4 linked regions of the Diceros bicornis minor genome follow. The protein of the gene in region 1 interacts with the protein of each later gene in a biochemical or structural test. Links are inferred from orthologs where the notes say so. Each region holds a gene or a part of one and is shown on either strand. Other genes may lie near its edges.

Region 1 (7,311 bases):
ATGTTCAAGGAAGAAGGTCAGGTTAGACTGTGAAGCACCTTAAGCTCAATCCTTTGGATTGCAGAAGAGCTTCATGTCATGTGAGGCTTGCAGCCTCAGAAGCTGGAGGCTGTCTCAGACCAAGAGCAAAGCCTCGGTAGCTGCCATTGAGTAGGCTAGGGGCTATCTTTCCTACTTATCAAAACTCCTTGTCACTGCCTGGGTTCTTTCCTTCCCTGGGGCTATGCCCCTCACAAAGCTGTCTGATGATCACCAGAACAGTAATATTTAAGGTGTGCTAGGCACTATGTGCAGTCTCGCATCTAATCCTCATAACATTAGGAACGAGGTTCTATTATGCTCATTTGACCAATGAGGAAATAGAGACTTAGAGATTAAGAATATGCCTGCTCTAGAAGGCAGGTTTCCAATTTCAATACCCATGCCCTCAATCACTTCGCCATGATACACACCAGGCAAAGAGATTAAGGAAATCTGGGCAGTCCCTCATGAAGAGCCAAGGAAAGGAGTTACTGAGATCTGGAAGAAAACATGTCTAGCTCTAACTTGCTACTCTCATCAAATTCCTTTGCAACAGATATGAAAATCATTTAACCAAGACATGACCAGAGATGCCCATTCCCACATGATCAGACCCAGACCTCAGATGACCTGAGAGAGTATCAGAGTTCTGCAGCCTCTTCTCCCTAAAAGCAGCTTCTCAAAACCTCCCGATTCTATTCTTGCAGCTCCTGCCCTGCCACACTAACTTCCATTTATCCAAATATCTAAGCACCTACTCTATGTCAGGTGTTGTCCTCAGAGCTGGGATTATAGCAGGTACCACAAAGGACAATAACCCTGCTCTCTTAAAGCTAAACATCTGGCAAAGGGGGCAAATAAAAAGCAAACAAGATGATTTCTGATGATAAAGGCTATGAATGATGAAATATAGTGGTGGAGTTGGGGGAGGCTGATTTAGGAAGCCCTTCTTGGGGAGGTAACATCTGAATTCATACCCAAATGACAAGGAGGAGGCAGCCTTGAAAACTCCAGGATCCACCTTATACTTGGTGGGCTGAAAAGGACATTAGTGATCAGCTAGTCTCAACTCTTTATTTACCAGTGAATAAAGAAAAGCTTGATGAGGTGAAAAGACTGGGACAAGGTCTCCCCACTGACTGCAAGGCTGTTTCTTCCCACTTTTCCATGAAGCCTTTGGATATACACATTTGAGTGTAAGCACCTTATGTTTGTGCTTTTAATCCCCTCAAACACACCATATTTGTAATTTTATTTTCAGTACAGCCTTGGGGAAAAGACGAGAGGCCTTCATTTGATAGATGATGAAATTGAGGCTCCAGTTGGCTAAGTGACTTGTCTAATGGTCTGTCACTAACAACTAAAGCAAAATGCAGGTTCTTTGTACTCTAGTCCTGTGTCCTCTCCCCTGGATGGGAAGGAGCTGTCTAGCCAGTGGTCCATGAACATAAGACATCATTACTAGCAACTTCATGGGTAATGGTTCAAATAACATACAAAAGAGTCAAAGATAAGAAAAATTTACTTAGTCATAACACACAAACTCAAAGTCCCTGAGTTATTTGCTGTAGAAAAGAACATGTGACCAGGGAACTAGACAGCCATGTCCTGAGACAATCAGCCCCCATGACGTCTGAATACAGACTGCAAGCTCATCGGTGCAACACTGCAGGGACAGCTAAAGAGGACTGTTCTTGAGGAGCCAGCCCAGCCCTGAGCTGGTGTCTCCTGAGCTGAGCATGAAAGTCACATTTAAGTCCCTGGACTCTTCTGTATAGGAAGTAAGCTACTAGTGCTTCCCAAACCTGCCTGCCAGAATCATCTGGGGGAATGTTAAAAAAACAAAGATTTTCAGAACAACACAAGACCCAAAGAATTAGAAACTCCAAAGTGTAGAGCCTGGAGATCTATGTTTTAAAATTCAGCCAGCCTAGAAATCCACTGGTTTTTCCTCACTTCTTAGTGCTATAACATGATGAAAAGAGGAGAGATGCCTGCTTTTATTATCCAGTGGGAAAGTTAAATTAGATTTTATCCCTTAAGGGCTGCTTCCAAAAGAAAATCTCTAATACCCAGACCCCTGACCTAGTGGGAAGTTCCTGTGAGTATCTTCCTGGTGACCTGTGAAGTCTGTTATCTCACTCTCCTTGGCTACACATCAAGCCCCCATGCAACCCTGGGAAAGCTTTTTCCGAGGCTCAGTTTACCATTGCCTTTGTAAAGCAGACCCTAACCTGTAGGGGTCGGGGCATCACAAGCAGAAAGGATCTCAGAGTACAGACAATCCCTCACCCCACCACCACCACCAATAGGCCCGGCTCCTTCCCCATGTGCCTCTCTTTGGCCCTGGACAGCCAGCTACTGCTTGGAAAAGGAAAAAGGAAAAGAAAGAAGGTGGTTCAGGCCCAGGTGGCCAGCACCCTCAGTCAGGGGGATGCAGAGACTCTCCTTACCTGGATCTAGGGGGAAGAGGAGCTGCTCCGGTCACTCGGGAATTTTCTCTCTGCTGGTGAGCTCTAGTCTTGGAACTCCGTGGACTTTGAACAAAGATTGATTTAAAAGCTGATGTATTTAACAGGGACTTGTGGTCTGAGTTCAAGTGACCTCTGTCCTGCTTTCTGCCAGCTGGGTGGGCCCTGAGCTGGGCAAACCTGAAAAACGCTCAGCAAACCCAATGCTCTGACCCACCTGCTTAACTGTGTGGGATGTCGCTGCTTGCCTGCTCCTCCCAGAGAAGAGGAGGGGAGAGAAGAGGGAAGGACAGCCAGGGAGGAGATGTCTTTGCCTTCCTCAGTTCTTTCACTTTGGCTAATACCTTGGTCACACCCAACCAACACCCAATGCGTTAAGAGCCTCCACTGTCCCCATCCCAAGGTCAGGGCTGAGGGTCATCACCCAAGTATCTTCATGTACTGAGGCCATCCTGGGGAGCAGTAACCTGTGCAACCCCCACCCTGTAGAAGGTCAGCAGGCCAATAAGCCCCAGTAAATGAAGCAAAGCTCCTCGTGTGCCCATCCTTCCTTTCCTCCACCGGGGAATTCTTCCTCGCATGCTTCCTAGGAGTTCAGCATAAAGCCCCTGCTATGATTTCCCAGGCTCCCTTCCTCTTCTTACACACTCTCTCTTCTCTGTCTCTCTCTTTTTTCCTCTCTATCTCACTGAGGGTGCTCTGTTTCTATTCTCCAACCTACTGACAATTGTCTTCCCCTTCCACACACTCAGAGCCTCTCAGGCAAGCCCAGCGGGGAAGGTGGAATGCATTTCCACAAGCTCCTCGGCTGGCTGCCTCAGCAGTGCCCTGCTCCACCCCTCATCCCAGACAGGAGCAGCAGCTGATCCCTATCAGCAGCACCCACACAGGCAGACCTAGCCTTGGGCTTTTCACTGACCTGGATCCTCAGCCCACACTGGAAATCAGGGCAAGAGATTGCTCCAGGCAGTGAGGCAAAGAGACCACAGGCTGAGGACAGGGTGGCCTCACCTTCCTCCACCCACGCTGGAAGGGCCACTCGTCTTCGCTGGGCCTTGGCTCTCCCCAGCAAAGGCATGGCCCGAGCCAGAGGGTAAATTGTCAAAAGGGACCAACATCTGAGCCGCTAACCCAGATCAGGTCATCTCCACCTTAACACTATGTCCCTTGGGCCTCCTGTATGTCTTCTGAAGCAGAAGTGTAGAATGGGAAAACCTGGATTCAAGATCAGAATGCCTGACTCTGCCACTTCCAGGTGTTGCATCTAGAGTAATTTATTTTTAACTCTGAGTCTCACTTGCCTTCATCACCTATAAATAGTTGTTTTTTAGAAATTTTTTTATATTGAGTCAAAATATCTCTCACCTCTGCCTGTAAGTCCTAATGGTTCCCTCTGGAGCTGTTCTACAGAGCAGCCCTTCAAATATTTGAAGGCTGTTATATCCCCCATAAGTCTTCTTTTCTCTGGGATTCCATGAATGCCCCTCATTCCTTAACATGGTCTGCCTATGCCATGACTTCAAAACTTCTCACCCTGGACGCCAGCCAATTGGTCAATGTCCGTCTTCAAATCAGGGGTCTAAAGGGGAAACTTTAAGGTGATGGAATTGTTCTATATCTTAAGTGTGGGAATGGCTATGCAATTGACTACAATTACCAAATTTCATCAAGCTATCACCTAAAATATGTGGATTATATTCCATGTAAATAATACCTTAATTTTTAAATTAAGGAGCCTGTCAGTAAATTTATTCTTGAAACTTCTAAAATAAAAAAATTTGGATGACAACAAAGTCAATCTTCATTCAAGAAGCTTCTCAGACTCACCCTTTATCCCAGCACAGATGGAACAAACAGCCACAAGCCTTCAGACTGGAAATAGAAGAGGCCCTAACATGCAGAGACAGTGTTCATTCAAAATTAAATAGAAATGAGCAATTGTTTTTTTTAAAAAATGACAAAACCCTTTCCCAGTGAAATTGATACCAAACCTCTTAATCTCAAATCCATGTGCCTGATATATAGTAAGCCAATCACGGAGACACCTGGTGCTTGGAGATAGAGAAAGGTTTATTCGAATTGGCCAAAATGAGAAGGCGAGAGGATAGGTTCTCTCAAATTCACCTTCACAAGACAAGAAAGCAGGGGGTTTTATAGAGCTAAGGGGCTTGGCAGGAGGAGTTTTGGAGAAACAAAGGGGTAACCCCAGGTTTCTTTCACTCCAGATAAGCCATTGGGCAATCTGACTTCTGGGCATCAGTGGCAGCTGGGGGCTGTTTTTCTGGTGACTGTAACTTCCTTGAAGGCATTCTATTTCTTCTGTAAAACAAGCTCATAAATCCTTGTGACCCTTGAGTCACCCCTCAGGTTGAGCAAGAAAACAGCAACTTGACAAGACTAACTTCTTTTCATCTATGTCTGTGCTGGGAACTAGGTCGAAAGGTAATCCTGCCCTTATTGAATATTGATAGTAACCCTCAGGTACCACGCTTCAGAATGTTGAACTGAATGAGATGAGCCCTCACTAAAATTTGGATTTAAAAAAATCTCATGGCTATAAGTAGATCTGCTCAGATTAATGCTAAGCAGAGTAACTCTTTTTGTTGATTACTTAGATCTAGACACTAGTGAGAAGGTAAAATGACATTATTTATTGTGTGCCTGGTAAGCCTTTATATCTATTATTCTATTTAACCCTCAGCATGACCCGATGAGATGATATTCCCATTTTACAGATAAGAAAGCTTAATTCATGGGGGTAATTATCCTGCCCAAGATCACCTGGCTCAGAAGGATTAAGGACCCTGTCTGTCTCCTTAGGTAGTGTTGTTTTGCCTCTAGGATAGGCTTCCCACCAGCCAGGGAAAAAATGTGCTCTCCTTCCCTAGAGGTATTCAAGCAGAGGCTGGTGGTGTTCTGTGTCATGTTACAGAAAGATGTCCTGCTTTGTGAGGGAGATTGGAGTAGGCAATTTCTTGGATCCCTTCCAATTCTAAGATTCTGTGATCCTAAATACCATGGGTCCTAAGACAACCTTCCCCATGAGAGTGTGTAGTATAAGTCCTGGGTGCATGTAGGTAAGAGTTATGAGCATGGGCTTTGGTATCAAACAGCTACTGAATCCTAAATCTGCCATCAATAAGTTTTGTATTTTTTTATTGTGAGCTCAAGTTTGTCTGGGCTTTGTCTATGGGAACCCTTGGCAGCCTGGGTGGAGGATTTTCTCTTGTTTTTGTCCAACAGCCCTTCTCCATATCCCTAGAATGACAAGGAGAGGCACTAAAAACTTGGAGCCAATTTGTGTTAGTTGCTTGCCTTGGTGTTTCCAGATCTTGCAAACAATTAATGTCAGTTACAACCTCAGCCCCCCTCCCCCTAAAAGCAGAGCTATGGTTGGGAATTTCCAGGAGAGATCTGTTTTTTTCTTCCCAGAGTCCAGGCCAAGATAGATAGTTTCCCTGTTACCCATGATCAGTTTTTCCCTGTTCTGTTTTTTCATAAATATATCCCCCTTCATCTTACTTATATATTACGTTTATGGATTATGTTATGTCTCTCTATTATCTCTGTCTCTCAGAATATAATTTCCCCAGGAACAGGCATGCCTATTTATTTTCTTGCTGTGTCCCAAGTGCCTGGAATATAAGCCTAGCTTATAGCAAGCTTTCAAAAAATGTTACTGAATGGATGAGTGAATAAATGAATCTCCTTTTGCCAGCAGGACTGGTTTTTAGCCCACCTTTCACTAAGAATGTAGCCTTCAGAGAGTCTCAGCTCTATGCAGGGTATCAGTTCCTGGGTCTTACCTCCTGTGCCAAAGTGACCCTGCTTGGTTACCGGTTTTCAGCTTTCTCTTCACTTCTGGACCTGAGAGATTTCTTTCCTTTCTTTCAAGTTCAACTATCTATTTGAAAAAAATGTTTGATATATTTTACCTAGTATTTCTATGAACTATGTAGAGGGAGGGTTTTCAGATTATCTAGTCTGCCGTGTTTCCAGAAATAGTTCTGTCACTTAGCAGCTACTTTGCCTTTCAAAGCTCCAGTTTTTTCATCTGTAAAACACAGGTAATATAACAAGCTCATAGGATTTCTTGGAGACTTAAGTAAGAAAACATTTGTAAATCACCCAGAACCTGGTAAATGCTCAGTATATAACATTGTTATTATTGTTTTTGCAAGTTATGCCCTCATAATTCATGGGCACACATTGTACAACAGAGTCATGGAAATAAACGGGCTAGAAGTATACAGTGGGCGACTCAGGAGTTCAGGATGTTTGGGGCATTGTGGATGGCATGCTTGCCCACTCACAACTCAGCGCTTTGTAAAACTGGTCAGAAACAGAAAACTAGAAAGACTTCCCAGTGCTTCCCAATACTTTCCCCTCCACGTCACAAAACAAATTGATAAGAGTTGTATAGTTCACCGGGGTAAATAGATGAGGCATTACAAGGCTAGGGTGACCTGCCTAGGGCCAGCTGCCCCAAGCTCTGCCCAGACTCCCTAAAGATCGAGGGCATCAATATTTTGGCATATTCTTAGAAAACTATAAAACATCACTGAGAGCAACTAAAGAAAACTTAAGTAAATGAAGATTATACCATATTCATGGGTTGAATCTTCAACACTGTAAAGATGTTAATTCTCTCTAAACTGATCTACAGATTAATGCATTTCCAATCAAACTTCCCACAGGGTTTGTTTGTTTATTTGCTTGTTTGTTTGGTGGAACTTGACAAGCTAGTTCTGAAAAATTGGAATAAGGAAGCTGTAGTGGGTAATAAGACAGTAGAGTGATAGTAATTACTACAACATGG
Region 2 (7,175 bases), on another chromosome or scaffold:
AGCTATGACATACAACTATCTACTGGGGCTTTGGGGGAAAAATAAATAAATAAAATCTTTAAAAAAAAAGAAAACACCAAATCCTCAGTAAAGTATTTGTATAAGGTCAGTAAGCTAGCTATCAGCATCATTTGGGTAGGGAGCTACCAGGTCACAAGTTTGGAAAGCACATGAAATTTGAGAAGAAAAGCAAATACCCAATGAGAAGATGAAAACGGTTTTTCTCTACAAGATGGGCCTTGTCTCCCGGTGGCACTCCCTGACTGGGCTCTTTTCAGCTTGCCAGCCTACAGCCAGAAGGGTACACAAGGAAATCACTAAGGTGCCTCAGACTTTAAAATTCGTCGGACTGCAGAAGGTAACTAACTACAGGATGGTCATTCTGGTCAACAACTGACTTCGCAAAGTCTTGCCCCTTACTTAAAAGTATAATACTGGAATAACAATGCCAATGGGAGGGGTGACAAAGCATTGAGTGAGCCTCAACCTTCTGTCAGAATCACCTGAAGCTCTTGTTGAACCACCGCCCCCCACCGCCCAGTTTCTAGTTTTACAGAATTGGGCTGGAAAGGGTGGCCGAGACTTTGCATTTCTAACAGGCTCCCAGGTGATGCGGATGCTGCAGGTGTGAGCACCACACTTTGAGAACAGCTGCCCTAAAGCATGGTAATAAATGTTTCACGTGCACTGTCTCCAATGGCAGGAACTTGAAGAAACTCCCACCTACAAGAACAAAGGTGTGTGTGGAATAGCCTTCTCCACGCATTTAAGAACAAGTACCCCTACAGGAGCAGCTCAGCAGAGGGGATGCGAACACAGGAACTCAGGCTCCAGAGCCAGACTGCCTTGTTTGGGATCCGCTCTACTACCTACTAGCTGTGTGATCCCAGGCAACTTAACCTCTCTTCCCTTAAGTGCCTTCACGTGGGAAACCGAGCTAAGCGCTCCTTTCCCTCCAGCAGGGAAACCGGAAATAAGTGCCTACCAAAATGAGCAATGGGAAGTCCTCACCTCCCCATTTCCACGCACAGACATTTTGAAAATCCACAAACAGAAAGTGCTTCCAGAGTTCCAAGCCCTGCCTCCAACAAAGGAGACATTTGCCTACTTCGTTATTATGTACAGTAGACACATCCATATTCCTTCTTCTGCGCCCTCTTTCCTTAAGAGAAGGGCCACCATACAGCCAAGAGATGTCCCTACACCTACTGAATACACCACAATCAAGCATGGGAGCACTCTTCCCCTTGGGATCCCCTAGGCTCTCCCATAAAACAAAGGAATGATCACCCGAAATTTACACAGTGTTATAAGCCAATATGACCTCAAGTTAAAAAAAAAAGGGGGGGGGGGAATGATCAGAATACGTGGGAAAGATGAAACGGTTAGGGTCGAGAAACGAAAGACCTAATAACCAACCTAATAACCAACCGAGTGTGATTAAAGCCCAAAGGTTCACGCCCACCTAGTTAGTAGTCTCAGATACTAGATGGAAAACTTTTAATTAAGAGCCTCATCTCTCTGAGCGGATTTTCACCTCTGTCCTTCTTCCCAGCTCAGGGACCCTTCAGTGGTTTTAGGACCATAGGACTCCCGGGCAGGAGCACCTGCATCAAGACCATGGATCGCTTCTCCAAAGGCTAGAGATCCCGATAAGACCCCACAGGCTTCAGGGACACCATCCCCAGAGTGATCCTCAAAGGTGGAAGTGCAAATATTATTTATCAACAGGGAAAGGGGCTGGTCGAAGACATACCGCAGTCGTGGCTGTGTGTGTCCCAGGCAAAAGCAAAACTTATTCAAGAACAGTGTCCCCATTCACTAACTAGAAAATAAAGTGTTTTTTTACCCACATGAAATTTGCCACAACTAGGTACCAGGACACACAGTGAGAGGCATACACAGGAGGGAGACAGAGAAAGACAGATGCAGGCAGACACGGTCATAGAACACAGAGAAAGGCCGGTGGAGTTGAAACGCAGCTGTCACGTAAGGAATTTCGGAAGAGGTGGGGACACTTTTGGGAGATGGCAATAGTCCAGGGCAGTGCAGTAAGTAGCCTTTGGTTGACATTAGATAAAGCAAGCTGTTCATAAGCTGCTTGGTTAAGAAAAAAAAAGGGTGCAGCTTTAGTTCAGGAGAACTGCGAATCCCTGCGCGGTGCAGGGGCAGCCGGCCAAGGGCGGGGTGTGGGAGGGCCAGTCGGTCCTCCCGCTGGGCAGTGATTTCCCCCAGGCAGCCTAGGTTTTCTGGCTCCCCACCTCCCGGGCACTGGAGGCTGGCGGAGCGAGTGGCAAGGAAGGGAGACCCTGAGCCCACGCCACCAGGTTCCCGGGTCCCCCTCCCTGGCCCTACTCCCGCCCACCCCGCGCGCCGGGGCGCAGGCGGGGACCACGCGGCCGGCGTGGGGTGGCCCCACCGGCGGCAGGAAGCCCCGGCGGTGCGGGCGGCGGCGAAAAGCCCTCCCTGGCCCAGACCCTCGGCCCTCCACCGCCAAAAGGCGCCAGCAACGCCAGGCACAGGCACGGGCCGGCGGCGGCGGGGTGTCGCAGCCCGAGCCGGGGTGCTCACCAGAAGAACACGCGCGAGCAGATGTTCGCGTCCCTCAGCGGGTTGGGCTTCGCCTCCGGGTACACAGACAGCATCTTGCCGGCAGAGGCGGGCGCGGGCCGGGGTGGCGCTGTGCGGGCGGCCGCGCCGCTCTCGCTGCTCCTGGAGGTGCGGGCGACGATGCTGGAGCTCGATCCGCTCGGCGGGAGCCTGAGAACCACCCGCTTCCGGGAGCAAAGAGCCCGCGGCCCGCCCCGTCCCCGCCTCCTGGGCCGCGCCGCGGGGAGCCGGCAGCCGGGACCGGGAGCGGGAGCGGGAGCTGCGCGCCGCGTGCGGGGCGGCGGGGGCGGCGCTGCCGGGAGCCGCGCGCGTGCGAGGCGAGGGGACGGGCGAGGTTGGATGGAGGTGGGTAGACTGACCACGCGGCACGCTGGGCCCGGCGCGGAGGCGCCCACGTGCTCGCACCTGGCTGCAGACTTGCCCAAGTTCGTACTCAGAGCCAAGGCACCCACCCAGAAGGTGGAGAGGGGAGGCGCCGGCTCTGCCCGCCCTGCTGCTCAGAAACGCCCCTTTGGCTGCGGCTTTCAGAAGACCGGGATTTAGCAGCCCGCCTTCTAGGCTCGCTGCCCTCATCAGGACCAAAAAGAGAGCTGTGGAAGGCTCTCCAACCTGCGGGCCAAACATTTGACCTAAGACAACAGCAGGATTTAGCACAGATTATCTTTGTAGAGCTGCAAGACCTAAAGAAAGGTAACAGAAGATTAGAAGAACTCAATGATTTTGGAAGATGAATGCACGTCATTAGGGGCAGGCTTTTGGCGTCTCACATGTTGCGTTATACGGGGGACCTCTGCGAGCTTTTTGCTGCCCTCTTAGACTGGGAAAAGGGGATATAGGGAGAAAGAGACTGCCTTATTACTTCCTTCATCCTGCCCTCAGAGCCTAGCAGAATAACAGTGGCACACGGAACGTACATTACAGAACACCCGTTATGCACATTCCTGGGGACCTTACCTCACTTTGAACTCTAACAATGCCCGAGTCAAGAAGGTATCCTTATCCCTATTTTACAGATTAGAAAGATGAGGCTCAAGGACAGAACTTGTCCAAGGTCTTAAGAGTCAGTAAATGATGAAACCCGATTTGGACTCAAGTCGGAATCCAGCGTGGTCTGTCTCACTGGGGGGTGGTCAGTGAGCCTAAAAAGTGTCTAGAATACGCTGGTTGAATGAACGAACGCATGATTGTAGGACTGAATGAACAAAATCTTGGACTCCCACTAAGTCTTCAGTTAGTTGTGAGGCCATCTTACCAGCTCAGGAGGTTCTCTTCTCTTCAACCCTAAATGAAGAAAGATCAAAGGTTACAAGTTCGTGGGGCTTATTACAAGATCACTTTACTATTCTCTGATAATTTCCCATGTATCTTGGCTGAAATGATGTTATTAATAATGGCTTTTAGTTTCAGTTATGCAAGATGAATAAGTTCTGGAGAACTGGTGTACAGTAATGTGACTGTAGTTGACAATATTGTATGTGTTCTTGAAATTTGCTAAGAGAGTAGATTTTAGGTGTTCACACAAAAAAGGAAAAGGAAAATGGTTAAGGTGTGAAGTGGTGGTTATGTTGATTGTCTTGGTTGTGGTGAATATTTCACGATGTACATGTATGTCGAGTCATCAGGTTGTATGCCTTAAATATATACAATTTTTGATTGTTAATTATACCTCAGTAAAGCTGGGGGGAAATGGCATTTTTGTGTATGTGTGTGAGGAGATCAGCCCTGTGCTAACATCCGCCAATCCTCTTTTATTTTTTATTTTTTATTTTTTTTGCTGAGGAAGACTGGCTCTGGGCTAACATCCGTGCCCATCTTCCTCCACTTTATATGGGACGCCGCCACAGCATGGCTTGCCAAGCAGTGCGTCGGTGCGTGCCCGGGATCCAAACTGGCGAACCCCGGGCCCCCCCAGCGGAGCACAAGCACTTAACCGCTTGTGCCACCAGGCCGGCCCCAGGAAGTGGCTTTTAAAGAAAGCCTTCCTGTATTCAAACACTTTTTAAAAGTCAAGCATATAATAATGGCAAAATATTGATAATAATTTTCAACTGATGGGTGATGGGGGTTTACTATACTATTTTCTTGCTATTTCATGATGTTTGAGAATTTGTTACAAAAAGGAAAGACAATTAGAGCTGAACATTCTAAGAAAACTGATTGTTCAATTACTTACTTTTCTGTACTAGCTCTTTCTCAGATATTGTAATCTACAACCTAAATAGTCAGCCCTCACCTTATTTACAGTTCTCTTTGAAACTCCTTAAATTTTCCAGCCCTGTAAATGCTCAGCTATCAGTTCTGCTTCAAAGATGAAGAATTTGCTCGCTCAAGTTAGAAGTCTAGTGCCTTCTCTTGTCAGACTGCCCCAGACCACTCTCTCTAATCCCCACAGTTCTCAGAACCATAATTAGCAGTCTCCGAACTGCCAGAAACACTAGTTCCTTCAGCTTCTGCTGGGTTTTTTTTAACTACGATCTTTTGAAACTTCTTAACATTTTTTTCTGACATTAACTAATAGGATATTTAGAAGAGATATTGAGAACCAGTGTTGAATTGTAGAGAAAAGACTGGATTTGGAACCAGGGGACCAGTGATCTAGACTTTTCACTTATTACCAAATCTGTCTGACCTTTATTGTCCTCAGGTCTAAAATGGGAATCAGAATTCCCACTCTTCCTACTTCCTACAGGGTTAGTGTGAGCCTCACAACTTGGGAAAGCACTTTGTAAAACCTAAGGCAATGTACAAATAAAAGGGTGGTTTTTTTCATTCATTCAACAAATGTTTAGCGAATGCTGTCTAGGTACTTGATCGCTAGGCCAGGCATGGAGCTGGCAAAAATGGGAAAGATGTCATAAGACCTCTATCTGCACTTGTTTACTGATCTTAAGTGGTTCAATACTATAACTAAAAAGACAGTAATAAGTATTAGAGAGGATGTGGAGAAATTGGAACCCTCATACATTGCTGGAGGGAATGGAAAATGATACAGCGGCTATGGAAAATAGTGTGGCAGTTCCTAGAAATGTTAAACATCAAGTTACCATCTGACTCAGCAATTCCACTCCTAGCTGTTTACCCAAGATAAATGGAAACATAGGTCCACGTGAAAATTTACATACAGATGTCATCGCAGCACTATTCATAAAAGCCCAAGTTGGGGGATGGGGGGACCAAGTGTCCATCAGCTGATGAATAGATAAATAAAATGGGGCATTACATACGATGGAATATTATTTGGCATTTTATAAGAAGGAATAAAATACTGATGCATGCTACAACATGGATGAACACTGAAAATATTATGCTGAGTGCATGAAGCCAGTCATTGACTCTAGTAGGGATAAGCAGAGAATACCTAGGGAGAGATTCAATCTTGTTGTACTTCATGATTCATTCCCAAACAAACCTCGGGGCACAAGAAAAAAAATTGTGCCTTGCAAAGTATAAATTACTAAATGATCTACAGGATCCCTCTCAAATAGTCAAAGCGTTAAGTGTTAAATCTGCAGTAGGTATAAGAGCTAATGCAGTACTAAAATGGTCCAGCTAAGACAATGCTGGTCCTCAAGCATTTTTCTACCAAGACATATGGGACAAATGGCATTCACAATTTAAACATACTCCATTGGGTATCCGTAGCTCCAAATATGGTGACAACTGTTCTGTCACTCCACCTTCTAGTAATAGTCTCCACCGCCATAATCTCAGGGGTGGGCACATGACACAAATCTAGCCAATCGTAAGATACCATGGCCGTCTCCAAAGGGACTGGCCCAGAGATAAGCTCATGGCCCAAGCCAAGCCAACTGGCTTTCTTTCTTTTTGTTTTTTTGAGGAAAATTGGCCCTGCACTCACATCTGTTGCCAATCTTCCTCTTTTTTCCTTTTTCTCCCCAAAGCCCCAGTACATAGTTGTGTATCATAGTTGTAGAGTTGTAGCCCTTCTATATGGGACACCACCTCAGCATGGCTTAATGAGCAGTGAGCAGGTCTGAACCAGCGAACCCCAGGCCTCCGAAGCACAATGCGTGAACTTAACCACTGCGCCACTGGGCCGGCCCTGGCTTTCTTTTTTTGAGAATTTTTTGGCTGGAGCTAGAAAGAGAAAGCCTCATTTTCCTTTCTGATCAGGGAGTTCTAAAGATATGACCCATAACTGGTGGTAGCCATGTCTCCCATTGTGATGGAAAGGCCTGAAATAGTAAAGCAGGTACCCAAAGGAAAGTCATACAGTCGATTAACTTACAGTCAACAACTATTTTCTAAACACAGACTGTGTGCCAAGAACTGTTCCAGGAGCTAGGGATATGTAAGTGAACACAATGAGAGTAAAGGAGAGTCTTGGTGGCATCGAGTCTCTGGGGTTCCTGAAGCTAAAGGATTAGAAGCTAAAGCTTAAATTGTGTGACCTGCTGTGGCAGAAGCTATTACTTTTCAGCTCATACCCCCTGGGCACCTCTCCAGAACTAAGGCAGCTTACTGTTTATCTGCAACTCTACTTAAGGGTCTTTTTCTAGCTATGGAAGCACTTTGAGGCCATATGCAAGGCAAGCCGAATGCTG
Region 3 (7,244 bases), on another chromosome or scaffold:
CTTCGCCCCTCACGCTCCCAGGAACCCCCCGCCTACACTCTGCTCTCCCTGCCAGGGGCTGCGATTGGTGGGGAGGTGCCCAGAGGCACTCCATCCCTCCTCCCCTGGGGGTAGAGACAGTATTCCACCTGTCTCCTCCTTCACATCCACCAACACTCACACACACATCTCGCTCCCTCATTCACGCACACAACCACCTTCTCATGCACACTCATACACATTTCTCTCACTCACACACACACATTTCTCCCTCATTCACACACAACCACTCTCTCATGCACACTCATACACATTTCTCTCACTCACACACACACATTTCTCTCACACACATCATCTCTCCCTCATTCACACACACAACCACTGTCATGCACACTCATACACATTTCTCTCACACACATTTCTCTCACACACATCATCTCTCCCTCATTCACACACACAGCCACTCTCTCATGCATACTCATACACATTTCTCTCACTCACACACTCACACACATCAACTCTCCCTCATTCACACACACAACCACTTTCTCATGCACACTCACACGCATTTCTCTCACTCGTGCACACACACACTCACACACTCTCCCCCACACACTCTCCTCCAGATCATAATCAGCACAGTGCGAGGCCCACAATAGGGCCCCCTTTCCCAACCCTGGCTGACTTGGTGGGGAGAGAGCTGGATTTTGGATTAACTCTCCTAGATTCATACTTTCATACTGAAAAAACTACCTGAGCTCTTGTCTGGCAGAGGTCTAGGATGAGATTTAAGTGGCTTAGAATATTTTCTGGTAAAAGCTACCAAAACAAAGCCCTAGAGCCACAGTGCCTGGGTTTGAATTCTGGCTCCACCACTCACTGGCTGTGTGATCTTAAACAAGTTACTTAGCCTCTCTGTGCCTCAGTAATAATTCCTACTTCCCAGGGCTGTTATGAGGACTAAATGACTTAATATTTGCAAAGAAGGTAGAACAATGCCCAGCAAGTTGTACATGCTACATAAATAAAATAAAAAGTAATTATTTAACTGAAATCAGTATTCACTGCCCATTCACTCACTGCCTCTCATTCATTCGGTTTTTGTTGAACACCTACTGAGTTCATTAGGCCAGACATGAAGGGCACACGCCTCACTATCTAGTAGGAAACACACACACAACAACAGTAAAAACAGTTTCTTTTCTTTTAGGAAAACGTGATAATTCTAAGCAGAGATTTGCACATGATTCTAAGAAAGGCCAGGGAAAGAACATTTACCTATTACCACGTAAACTCAAAAAAATCACCAAAAACCTACAGTTAAATCCTTTGAATCCATTTAAAAGAATGAATTCGGTCGAACTGATTTGTGTATTTAGATTTAGGTTCTGTACACACAAGCATTTTGGAAAATATTCCCATTCAATGCCATCTACTCAACCTCTCTGGATGTTTTTCTTCCTCCCTCCCTCCCGGATCTCCTTGATCACTCAGAAAATAATCTCCCAGCTCGCCCCCAGGCCTCAGTTAAGGGGTGGGAGAGGGGGTATGGTTCAATCAGACCAGCCCTCAGTCACTTTTAAAAACAGCTTATAAATATTTGGGAGCGGGAGGGAGAGGATGGAGAAAAACCCAGTAACTAGGAACGTCTCTACTGATGAACTGGCAGCGGTTGCATTTTAAAATCTTGATGGTTTAACTCAAACCACTTTGTGAGCTGGTACACGTTTAATGACTGATGGAAAAATGAAATTCAGTCAATCCGCACCCCTCCCCCAAATCCATTCAATCCTTTTGGACGAAACCGCTTTTAAATGCACTGAACCCAGTCAAGCTGGTGTCTGTGTTTGTAACTCAGGCCGTCCACACCGACCCTGCGGAGTCCGGATCCTCCGGCGTGAGCCGCGCGGGGCTCCCCGGCGGCGGCGCCCAGGCCCCCGCACCTCTCCCTCCGGCTGCTGCTTACGTGCCTACACCCAGCAACCGGGGAAGCGCTCGGCACTGGGAAGTGGCTGGCGGCTATCACTAGCGGCGGGCCTGCTGTCGATCCCCAGCCCTTCCCTGGCGCACGCCGCCCGCGGACAGCCCCCCGACGCCCCCGAACTTCAGCCGCAGACGCTGCACGTGCGGTCTGGCGACTTTCCTAAACTCCAGGCGCCGGGATCGCGTCGCCAGACCCGGGGCAGGAGCCGCCGGCGCAGCGCGGGGACCCGCGAGTGCAAAGGCTGGGAGGGGAGCGCTGCGCTCCCGCCGGCCGGCCTCGGCGGAGGAACCGCAACCGCCGCCGATGCACTCTCCTCCCCGGAGACTGCGATATTGATCCAGAGTTCCGAGGCGCGGGGGACATTTATCTCCACGGATTTGAAGCTTTCAGCGGAGGAGAAGGGATAGGAAGGAGCTCCCAGGAGCAGGGCGGGGGCGTGTGGAGTGGGGGAGCTGATGAGAGGGTGCTGGGGCGGGTGAGGAACCCATCTCCAGGGCCTCCTGGCCGGGTCTGCATGGGAGGGGTGGCAGGGAGAACCAAGCGTCGACTCCCAAAGCCTAAAGCGATTCTCGGCACAGAGCTGGTTACCCGGGTGGGCGGACCCCCTCCTCCGCCAACATCCCGGCCGCTTCGCCACAACGATTTCTTTTTTCACCTGAGTTCTCTCCCCACCCACCCAGCACCAGCTCCAAAGGTCCAGGGAGAGGGAGTTGGGCTGCCCCTCAAACCCCGGCCGCCCCCGACCTGTGCGCAGCTCTTCCCACTGACCCCCCATCACAGCCACAGCCCACCCGTGTCCCGCGCCGGCCCGGGGCTGGGGGCGCCCGCGCTTCTCTTACCTTGACGAGCCGGAGCTGCGGGCGCCGTCCCATCCTCGGGCTCGCTCGGTCACCGTCCTGGACGCCTGGGTCTCTCGGACATCCCAGAGGGGCCAGCCGCGGGGGCGGGCTCGGGCGGGGCGGGGATGGGGGGCGGCCTGGCTCCTCTGTCGCTGCCCTGCGCCGAGGCGCCCGGCTCCGCGCTCCCCGGCCCGCAGCCCGGCCCGGCCCGGCGGGCTCTCGCTCTCCCCTTCCCGAGGAAGTCCGGCCGCCGTTTCCTGACTCAGCCCGGCCCGCAGCCGCCTCTCGCCCGCCGGGAGCCCGCCTCGCCCCCGCCGCCTCCCCCTCGGTCCGCGCCGCTCTTCGCCTCGGCTCCCCGCCCCCTCGCCTCGGCGTCCCCTCCCCTCTCTCCCTCTCCCCTCCCTTCCCCTTCGGTCCCTCCTCCGCGCCTCGCCCCTCTGCTGCCTCCGCCACCCCGCCTCCCCGTCCCCTCCCCTTCCCCGGGCCAGCTCCTCGCGCCCTAGCCGCGCTGACCCCCTTTCCCTGCGCCCCGGTTTGCGGCAGTCGGCGGGGCGCACTGGCGGCAGTGGCGGCAGCCGCAGCCCAGGGAGAAACCGGGGATGGGGTTGGGGGGTGGGGGGAGACGCGCGGGAGAGGAGGCAGCCTCTCAGCTCCTGCCGGCTTGAAGTCCGGGCCTGGGGAGTCCAAGGAGTCTGAGGGGACTTGGGGGCCTCTGGCAAATCTATGGGAGCGAGGCTATTGGAGACTGGGGAATAGAGCAGCCCCGGCTGAGGGGAGCCTCCGCGGAAACCAGGTGGAGCTGAGGACTGCGTTTGGGCAGTTCCCGCCCTGCATCCCGCGGGGAGAAGGTCCTCACTGCCCCCGCCTCAGCGAGGCCTTTGGCGCTGACACCCCAGGTGCGCGCAGGGACACGAAAGCTCTGCGGAAGAAACCTCATTCATTCATTCATTTCATTCATTCGTTCTTTCATCCATTCATTCATTCTACAAACTAAGCGCCTGCCCAGTTTGGTCCCAGCAAGGGGCTGAACCTGGGAACCCCAAGATGAAGGGGAGACGGCGGTGCCCTGCAGGACTAGCGGACGTCTGAACGCTGCGGCGGGGAAAGCGGAGCGCATTGCGCTGCGGCGGGGGGAAAGCAGCTAGGAATCCAGCGGGCAGAGTGTAGAGGAGGCCACAGCGCCCCCTCTCGGCCGAGCCCTCAGGGTAGGGATCAGCACCCGCGTCCCGGTCTTCATCGAGTTTGGCCCTCTAGCTTCCCATCCCACCTTCAGCTCCGGGAAGCAGCTCCCGCCTCTTCCAGCCCCTTAAACTTTCCCCTCCAGCCCCTCCAGTTGGACAGAACTTTTGGCTTCCTTCTATCTCTTCCTTCCTCCCGCCAGCGCTGAGAAGGGAGATAGAGAAAATCACTCCACTCACAGAGCCTCGGCCTGCAGCGCCAACCGCAGCCCCTCCAGAGGAAGCCAGAGCTTCTGGGCGGAGCGCGGTCCCAGAGTGGTAGTCAGCCGGCTCTGAGATCAAACTCTGAACCCAACTGCCCTGGATTCTGTGTTCTGCCGCGCCCACGCCCCTCCTGCCTTCCACCCACTTCTCAGCACACTGGGCAAGAGTCAGCACGCTCACGATTCCAACTGGTTCTTCATTTAGAAAAGGAGTTATTGTAAGAGGTCCTGTGATCCAACACGCACAGTTTACTGGTGAGGAAACTGAGGCACACAGAGAGATGGTGACCTGTCCAAAGTCCCATAGCTGGCAAGCCTAGTCCTCAGTCTCCTGATTCCCAGCTTAAAGTGCCTGGAGGGCTGGGCCCTGATGGGGTTTGGGGCTCTGAGGTGGGGAGGGGCATTGCCCAGGAAGCCAGCTGGTCACACTGGCTTAGCCACACGGGGAGGCTCTTTCTAAATAAAGCACACAGTCTCCAGTCTGGCAAGACTCCCATTAGAGCTGGTCATGCTGAATCGTACACGGACTAACCCCAACTAATTCTAGAAGAAACGGATGTACCAACCAGATGGACAATTTATTGCTCTCAACAAAAACTAAATGCAGAGTGGTCTAGTGTAGTGCGGGTTCTGGAATTAGGCAGCCTAGCCTGAGTTTGAGCCTTGAGTCTTCCACTTACAAGCTATATAAACCTGGAAAATTATTTGACAGTGCCTCAATTTTCTCAACTATAACATGGGGGTGGGAATACCCACCTCATAGGGTTGTTGGGAGGTTTAAATGAGCTAACATTTGTAAATGACTTGGAAAGATGCCTGGCACATAACAAGGACTTAATGAAGGTTAGCTATAGTCACCATCACTATCATCATCATCATCATCATCATCATCATCATCAAGTGGACCAGATCCTCAAATGTATGGGCAGGGTGATCCCTCCTCTAAGCAATTCTCTGTGGGAAGCAGAATTCTTGATTAGAAGGCCACAGCAGCAGTGGATTGTGGAATCAGAGGAGAGGAAGCTGGTGGGTCCTCAGGGAGGTTTGCCTAGGCCCTGCAGAGACTTCACTCCCCAGACCTGCCCCACCTTGGAGCTGACTCTCCAGGGACCAGACAGCTCCAGATTTCCAGATTCTGTGTTTCTCTCTGCTTAATATTTTGCCTTTCTGAGCCCTGTCTTCCTCCCCTTGACATGATCTTGAAATATGCTAATGCCATGGGTTAGGCTGTAATCAAGTCTTGCTCTTCTTGCCTTTTTGGCCTGGGATTCAGACCTTCTCTTTCTAAAGGGGCACCTACAGACGGCACATTTCATCCCGCTGGTGTTGATGGTCTGTGTTGATTTTGCTGACTTAACTGGCACTCCCCCACTCCACCCGCCCCCCCCTGGAGTTGGCAGGAGGGGGCTTCTGTACCACTCCGGGATACTTATTCATAGTTTTGGCCTTGACCGCTTTGTGAGGGTTATGAGAGTCTCAAGTTTAACACCCTCTTTGTAAAAAGATTCCATATCCCCTTTCATTTGTCCTGAAACTGCTCCCTTCCACCTTCAAAAGCCCGGCTCTCGTCTGCTCTGCTTGGTGAGGATGCCAGTGCCCAGGTCTTCCACGCCCTTTCCCCCTCAGCCCCAGCTCTCCAGCCAACCAGCCCAAGGCTCAGGGTGGTCTCTTTAGGCAGCCTCTCCACCCTCCTCAGGACAGCCTCCTGCTCCATTCCAGCATTCTCTTCACAGCCTGACCTTCCCCAAATCTCTCCTCTTCCTGTCCAGGCCTAGACCAGAGTCAGCTGTCATTTGTGGAACCAAATTTGGAGGAAAGGAGAAATATGAGGAATCTAAACAGGAATAAAAGACAATTCCAGGTCCTTCCAAACAGTAGGAAAGACAGATGTGAGAACAAGTAGTGATGGTGGGACCCAGGGAGGGAGGGCTGAGAAGGCCCTTCTGCCTGTGGGGCTGTGGGGTGCCATTGGCTTAACTCTGGTCATCCCAGTGAAGTCGATGGTCTGGAACCATACTTCTCAGACTACTTGTGCCGAAGAACCAGTTCTTGATTTTTAAACTTCTATCTGTTGCAGACTGATACGATTGCAAAATAAAATGGGAATGAATTATTAAAAAATGAAATAAAAAATAAAGACATACAAAATAAAAGCCCAATTTTTAAAACTATCATATCCAATGGACATAAAACTACTCTGTGAAATTGCTTAAAATTTTTTAAATGCTTCCCTCAATTTCTGCACTTAACCTTGTCATGGACTGGCAACAAATAATCTGCAGACAGATCAAGCTTGGAATAGCACTGGTCTGGAATGCTTCTGAAGTATGAGGTCAGGAAAATGGCCTCATGGAGGGAGCAGCTTACAAAATCGCATGAACATTGGGGGAGATGGTGTTAATTACTCCATTCATCTGTGCATTCATTCAACAAACATTTAATGAGCAGCAATTATGTGCCAGTCACTTGGACGCCATGGCTAATAAAGATTACTACAACAGGGCCCTAGCCCTCAAGATGTTCACAGACTGGAAGGGCAAGCCACTTTGATAAATAATTAAAAGCTAGTGAAATCAGGTCAATAATAGACCAGGCACCATGCATGGAAGCAGGAATATCAATTCTGCCCAGGGCCAACAGGGAAGGTTCTCCCAAGGAGGTGATATTGTGCTGGAGTCTGGAGGCAGAGAGGCAGATGTTTGCTCGCATATGGCCAGCTGGCACTCAATAAACGAGTTAATATGTGTAAAGTGTTTACCGCAGTGCCTAGCACATAGTAAGTGCTTCAAAAGTGTTAGTTGTTTTGATTATTAAATTTTGTAAATTATCATCATCATCATCCACCCAGATCTACCCAGCAGTGTGCGTAACTTTGGCTGGGGGTTGTGGGGTTGTAGGTAGCTCAGCTGGGGGAAGAGAGCAAACTGGCCTTGACACACCCACTTTGTCAGAGGAAAGATCTTCTGGAAAAGGTGGGTTGGGAATTGTGTATTGAAGGAAA
Region 4 (7,295 bases), on another chromosome or scaffold:
TACACACGAGATACTAAAAATACTCAAGGTGATCCTGACACATAGCAATGAGTATGTTGCAAAGATATATCGTCTTTCTTCCAAAATGAGTGTTGCTTAGATGATGAGGGTACGCCGCATGATCCCAGATGGATAGGGAGGCAGGATGGTATAATGAATGAGAACATGTGCTTTTGAGTTAGAACAGACCCAAGTTTAAGTCTCAGCTCTGCCTCTTGGTCACTCTTATTACTTCACCTTTCTGAGCTTCAAAACACTTATCTGCATAGGGAGGACTAGAGTGAGTATTGATGAAGAAAATGGATGGGAAGTGATTAACTTGGTGCCCTGACACTTGGTAAGTTTTCAGTTGATGCTAGCTAACGATAACAATAAGATTTGAGACAACAATGAACAAAACTCATGGGGAATTAAATGGGAGGATTCTGTGTGGCCAAGTAAAAGGAGTTGGGACAATTTCATCTGAAAAGAGCCAACCAGAAAGACAAGAACAATTCTATTTAATTTACTTTACATTTTTACTACACCAGTAGTGAATGTTTATGGTAAAAAATAACAAGGTAATATAAGCTGAAATAAACTTAAATTACAAGATTTACCACCAACCAGACATATCTGAATTTTTGTGCATTTGCTTCCTTTCATGTTTCTTCAAATATTTTTAAACAAAAATGAGTGTCTATAATAATGCTGTTTTGTACCTTGCTTTTTTCTTATCACTGTATCATGATCACCTTTCTGTGCCAATTAATAAACATCATTGTCATTTATTTATTTATTTATTTTTGTGAGGAAGATCAGCCCTGTGCTAACATCCGATGCCAATCCCTCTCTTTTTTGCTAAGGAACATCGACCCTGGGCTAACATTCGTGCCCATCTTCCTCTACTTTATATGGGACACTGCCACAGCATGGCTTGACAAGCGGTGCGTTGGTGCAGCCCGGGGATCCAGACCTACGAACCCTCAGGCCACCGAAGCGGAGCGTGTGTGCACTTAACCGCTGTGCCACCAGGCGGGCCCCAACATCAACGTCATTTAAATGGCTAAAAGAGTATTCAGTTACATAGACATAACAAAATTTGTTTCAATAAATTTTTTACAATAATTATCATCCAAGTTGTAAGGAAGGGGACATGTGCCCTGGGCTCAACCAGGGCCAATTCTGGTTCCACTTTAGGAAAGATCCTATGTTCCCTGGGCCTCACCTTTGCCAGCTGTAAAATAAGAATTACACCCTCCAGCATGCAGGGCCATTATGTGGGTCAAATGAACTACTGTATGTAAACGAGTTTTGTAAATAGTGAAGTACTATGTGAACAGTTAGGTTCATCAAGGAAGGTGCTAAACAGATATTCTCCACCACTGAGTCAAAATAAGGAGAAATTTCGTTAACATCCTCTTGATCAAGTTAGGTTGATTTAAAAGAAGTACATCCCTGCTGTAGGCTATGCAGCAGCAGAGGCTTTGACTTGGTTTAGCTGCCTTTGGTCTATTCTCAATTCCTAATTGGAAAAACCAGAGCATAGCTCTGGTATAAACTCTGTCCACTCTCCTTCTCGGGACATGGGGTCCAGAAAAGTAAGTGCCATGTCTACGCTCCTGGATAGCCAGGATAATCCACTTGCTGCCTCCAAATCCAATCCCATCAGTCTTTGCTCTGCCTTTTAATATTATTAAAATTCATACCTATTAATAACATTTAATAGCAGCTATTAAATGCTCACCTTGTGTTTGATCCTTGAAGAGTTTGCAAATGAAAGGAAGTCTGGCTACCTTGGCAGGCTACTAACAGATGCTAGGCTTAATTTTGATACATTTAGAACATTCTGGACCCTCAACCTCTCTAACTTCTAACCACCAGAAAATGAATCCATCTCTTTAAAATATTAGTAAATTGAAACTCTCAAGTAGATTCTCATCTCAAGAGTTTATGTGGTTGAGATGAATGATAGAAATTTCTAGAAGTCTTACATTTCCCACAAATTACTCTTGCATTATTTATATAGCATTGAAAGGTAGACTTGAGTGGCTTGCCTGAAAGTGTACCTCCCTTCCCTTAAGATGTATTACTCTCAGGTATGTGTCAGAGACAGAAAATATTTCAAATAACCTAGATTAGACGTTATTATACTGGCCACCCATTTGAACCACCTGGTAGATTTTTGAAATTAAAAAAAAAAAAAAAACTACAGATGACTGACTCATCACCAAAAGTTAAGTTTCAATTATTCTAGGGGTAATTTTCTAATCTCCTCAGAATCAGTTGATTCTAAGTGAATCTATAGCCAGAGTTGAGTACCGCCAATTGAGGTCCCAAAGGGGTAATAAGCAGATTACAAGCACACACTCTTTCCCTCTCATTGTGCCTCTGAGTAAAACCACTGAAATCTGCATTCTCAAATTCAACCTCCTCTCCCCAAAGAACAAGACCCTGAATGGAAAAAATATAAGTTACACAATCAAATGACCCAGTCTATGAAAAATAGGAAAGATGCTATATGGCCCAAAATTGGAGAATGCTTGGCTAAAGGATAGTAAATCTCCTCAATGCAATATCATGCAGCAATTTTAAGTTATGATTATAAAGAATTTACAGCAACGTGGAAAAAATTTATGCTTTAACGGAAAAAATAAATTATCCATACAGTATGAAGACAACTATGAAAATCAAACTAAAATCGTATGCAGACACACAAAAAAGAATGGAAAGAAATACCCCTAAAATATCAATAGAGGCTAGCTCAGTGAAGGTTTTTGCTTCCTTCTACTTTTTTGTATTTTCCCAAGATTTTTTAAGCTATTGTGTATTTAGTAGAAAAAAATTTATAGTAGAACAAAATAAATCTGCTTTTCAAAAACTGTTCTTCTGACTATGAAGGAATAAGCAAAGGCTTATTCATCAATGAATTCACAAAGCAAAGATAAAAATGCTCACCTGAAGTTTTCTTTCTTTCAGCTGCCTTGGCTTCTGTCTCCTCTCCCTCTCCTGTCCTCCTCCTGCAAGTAATTCAGCTTGTTTCTTTAAAAGAAAAGTGAAACAGCAAATTATATATTATGAACAGCGTCAGCCAATAGCAAGAGAGTAAGGAACTTTGGTCAGCAGGTCAGCTGTGCTTTATAGAACTTGGTGTGGGTGTTGGTGCTGGCTTCCTTCTCAAGAAGGGGGGAAGATTTCCAGTTAGGGGCTACATCTGAGAGGAAGAAACCTGCATTAGCCCTGCCGCTCTAATGACTGTTTTTATTACCGTCTTTCACAACAGATCAAGGGGCTGTGATGAGCTAGAGTCAGGGGTTTTAAGCGGCTTTTAGTTCTCCTAAATGGTTTCTGTTTCCATGACAACAGTCACATCAACACCGCTTTACACGGACAACACTTTAGAGCTGTTTAGAGCACTTCCCGTTACCCACTAGCCTTTTCCAGGGACTTGGTACTCAGGGGGACCCTTACCCAATCTAGTGAAAATGCTCTGTCGAAGATTCCCAACAACCTCCTCATTGCTCAAGTAAAAGGTCCTTTCTCAGTCCTCATCTTCTTTCCTCAACTTGTTGCACGGTTAACCAATGCCACTTTCTTGAAACTTTCTCCCTGTTTCTCTGAGTCTCCTGGTTCTTTTTCTACCTCCCTTTCTGATACCTCTTCTTCCACCCCTTTTCTACATGTGAGCTTGCCCCAAAAGTTTGTTTTTTGAGCAGTTCCCACCGTATTCTCTTGCTTTTATCTACATTATCCACATCCACGACCATATTTAATATAGCCAAAACAGAGCTTTTCTCTTCCTCTCCCAAGCATACACTCCCCCATTTATTCCATCTCATCAAATGGCACCACAATGATTCAACCAGTTAATCTGTCCATAAACCTAGAAGTCATCTTTAACTTCTCTATTTCTCCCACAACCAACATCCAAGCCAACAATTCCATTTGTTCTACCTACAAAATATGTCCAAAATCCAATCATTTCTCACCTTCCTTATCCCCATTAAAATCCCCATCATTTCTTAGATAGAATGATGTAGTAACATCAGGCAAGAAATAAAAGTCATCCAAATTGGAAAGAAAGAAGTAAAATTATGTCTGTTCACAGATGATATAATCTTTTATGTAGAAAATTCTAAAGATTACACACACAAAAAAAAACCTGTTAGAACTAATAAACAAATTTGGCAAAGTGACAAGATACAAAATCAACACACAAAAATCGGTTGTATTTCTATACACTAAGAATGATCAATCAAAAAAGGAAATTAAGAAAACAATTCCATTTACAATAGCATCAAAAAGAATAAAATACTTAGGAATTAATTAACTAAGGAATTGAAAGACTTGTACACTGAGAATAAAACATGGCTGAAAGAAATTTAAAAAGACGTAAAAAAATGGAAAGATAGCCCATGTTCATGAATTGGAAGACTTAATATTGTTAAGATGTCGAAACTACCCAAATGGATCTATAGATTCAACACAATTCTTCTCAAAATCCCAATGATGTTTTCTTCAGGACTAGAAAAATCTATCCTAAAATTCATGTGGGATGTAAAGAGACCCCCAAATAGCCAAATCAATCTTGAAAAAGAAGAACAAAGTTGGAGGACTGAGACTTCCTGATTTCAAAAATTACTACAAAACTACAGTAATCAAAAAAGTGTAGTCTTGGCATAAAGACAGATAGATAGCCTAATGGTATAGAATAGAAAGTCCAGAAATAAGCCCTCACATATATGGCCAAATGATTTTTGACAAGGGTGCCAAGGTCATTTATGAGAGAGGACAGTCTTTTCAACAAATGGTGCTGGGAAAACTGGATATCCACATGCAAAGGAATAAAGTTGGACCCTTACCTAACATCATATACAAAAATTATCTCAAAATAGATCAAAGACCTAAATATAAGAGCTAAAACTATAAAACTTTTAGAAGAAAACAGAGGAAAGGCTTCATGGATTTGTCAATGATTTCTTAAATATGACACCAAAGGCACAGGCTTTAAAACAAAAATAGACAAACTGGACTTCATCAAAATTAAAAACTTTTGTGTATTCAAGGACACTATCAACAGAGGAAAAGGGCAATCCACAGAATGGAAGAAAATATTTGCAAATCACATAGCTGATAAGGGATTAACATCCAGAATATATATAGAACTCCTACAACTCAACAACGACAAAAACAAACAACCCAATTAAAAAATGGGCATAGGATTTGAACAGATTTTTCTCCAAAAAAGATACACAAATGGCTAATAAGCACATGAAAAGATGCTCAACATCAAAAATTATTAGAGAAATACAAATCAAAACCACAGTGAGATATCACTTCATACCCATTAAAATGGCTATTACAAAAACAAAAACAAAAAACAAGAGTTGGCAAAGATGTGGAGAAATTGGACCTTTGTGTACAGCTGATCAGAATGTAAAATGGTGCAGCCATTATGGAAAATAGTATGGTGGTTTTTCGAAAATTAATAACAGAGTTGTCCTGGGGCTGGCCTGGTGGCGTGGTGGTTAAGTTTGCGTGCTCTGCTTCAGTGGCCCAGGGCTTGCAGGTTGGGATCCCAGGTGTGGACCTATGCATCACTCATCAAGCAATGCTGTGGCAGCATCCCATATACAAAAACGGAGGGAGATGGGCACAGATATTAGCTCAGAGCTAATCTTCCTCAGCAAAAAGAGGACTATTGGCAATGGATGTTGGCTCAGAGCCAGTCTTCCTCACACAAAAAATAAATAAATAAAAAAAATTTAAAAAAATAGAGTTGTCATATGATCCAGCAATTCCACTTCTGAGTATATATCCCAGAGAACTGAAAGCAGGGTCTTGAAGAGATATTTTTATACCCATGTTCATAGTAGTATTATTCACAATAGCCAAAATGTGGAAGCAACTCAAGTGTTCATTGATGGATGAATGGATAAGCAAAATGTGATATAAACATACAATATAATATTATTCATCCTTTAAAAGGAAGGAAACTCTGACATATGCTACAACATGGCTGAATCTTGAGGACATTATGCTAAGTGAAATAAACTGGTCATAAAAAGACAAATACTGTATGATTCCACTTATACGAGATATCTAAAGTAGTCAAATTCATAGAGACAGAAAGTAGAAGGGTGGTTGCCGGGGCAGAAAGGAGAGGTAAATGAGGAGTTATTGTTTAATAGGTGCAGAGGTTCAGTCTGGGAAGATGAAAAAAGTTCTGAAAATGGATAGTGGTGATGGCTGCACTACAATGTGAAGGTACTTAACGCCACTGAACAGTGCCCTTAAAAACCATTAAAATTGTAGTTTGTCTTATGTATATTTTACCACAGTTTTAAAAAACAAATAATTAAAAAAATAAATTGGAAGAAGTCTAAAAAAAAAAAAAAGAATGCTGTAGGAACATCCTACCTAATCGTCTTCCTGTCTCCACTCTTGCTGTTCTACGGTCAAGTTTGTTTTTTGTGAGGAAGATCAACCCTGAGCTAACATCTGTTGCCAATCCTCCTCTTTTTGCTGAGGGAGACTAGCTCTGAGCTAACCTCTGTGCCCATCTTCCTCTATTTTGTATGTGGGTTGCCACCACAGCATGGCTTGATGAGCCATGCGTGGGTCTGCCCCCGGGATCCAAACCTACGAGCCCCGGGCCACCAAAGTGGAGCGTGCAAACTTAACCACCATGCCCCGGGCCAGCCCCTACAATCAAGTTTTTAAGGAGTAAATCATATCATGTCTGTCCCCTGCTCGCAACTCTGCAATGACTTCCCAACTTTCTCAAAAGAAAAATCCTTATCACGGTCTACAAAGGCCAGACCTGCTCAGCCCCTGCTACGCATCTCTACAACTTCATCACTAGCCGTGAGGACTTCCCTGCTGCTCCTCCAGGCACATGTGCTGGAATGGCCCTGAACCCTCACTCCCTCACTTCACTGGGGCCTCTGCTTAAATGCCGCCACCTCAGAGATGACTTCCCCAGCCTCCCTTTCAAGAAGAGCTCCCCCACACACACTCTATCCCCTTACCCTGCTTTATTTTGCTTTATAGTGCTCATCACCATCACTCCTTCTTCTAATATTGTATATTTGTTTGTAAATTATTGGATTCCTATGCTATCTGTGCAGACTTCTCAGACTCCCTGGGGTTCTAGCTGGAACATGGCCACCTCAGAAGAGCTGTTAATGCTGCAGCTGCCCTTGTTCTCTTCCCACGCTTAGGCCTGTGGACACTCCAGCCTTCATGTCCATTTCCTCACCCTGCAAATTGCCACCTTTGGCCACCGCTAGGACATAGAGCTACACAAATCATAT

Evidence for each region.
Region 2: the proteins of PDZK1 (region 1) and ABCC4 form a complex in vitro, tested with the Homo sapiens proteins (2 studies listed by BioGRID and IntAct, with this or other methods). The link is inferred for Diceros bicornis minor from reciprocal best matches to the Homo sapiens genes PDZK1 and ABCC4.
Region 3: the proteins of PDZK1 (region 1) and CRHR1 form a complex in vitro, tested with the Homo sapiens proteins (2 studies listed by BioGRID and IntAct, with this or other methods). The link is inferred for Diceros bicornis minor from reciprocal best matches to the Homo sapiens genes PDZK1 and CRHR1.
Region 4: the proteins of PDZK1 (region 1) and CYSLTR2 interact in a test that uses a peptide from one of them, tested with the Homo sapiens proteins (2 studies listed by IntAct, with this or other methods). The link is inferred for Diceros bicornis minor from reciprocal best matches to the Homo sapiens genes PDZK1 and CYSLTR2.

The regions. Positions count from the first base shown.
Region 1 is NC_080743.1:53,251,901-53,259,211, forward strand, and holds the start of PDZK1 (Na(+)/H(+) exchange regulatory cofactor NHE-RF3), read right to left. Parts: upstream 3,024-7,311; 5' UTR 2,475-3,023; intron 1-2,474. UniProt on the Homo sapiens protein: A scaffold protein that connects plasma membrane proteins and regulatory components, regulating their surface expression in epithelial cells apical domains.
Region 2 is NC_080748.1:72,019,280-72,026,454, forward strand, and holds the start of ABCC4 (ATP-binding cassette sub-family C member 4), read right to left. Parts: upstream 3,005-7,175; 5' UTR 2,646-3,004; coding exon 2,572-2,645; intron 1-2,571. UniProt on the Homo sapiens protein: ATP-dependent transporter of the ATP-binding cassette (ABC) family that actively extrudes physiological compounds and xenobiotics from cells.
Region 3 is NC_080757.1:44,377,333-44,384,576, reverse strand, and holds the start of CRHR1 (corticotropin-releasing factor receptor 1), read right to left. Parts: upstream 3,021-7,244; 5' UTR 2,836-3,020; coding exon 2,803-2,835; intron 1-2,802.
Region 4 is NC_080748.1:28,486,071-28,493,365, forward strand, and holds the start of CYSLTR2 (cysteinyl leukotriene receptor 2), read right to left. Parts: upstream 3,015-7,295; 5' UTR 2,938-3,014; intron 1-2,937. UniProt on the Homo sapiens protein: Receptor for cysteinyl leukotrienes. The response is mediated via a G-protein that activates a phosphatidylinositol-calcium second messenger system.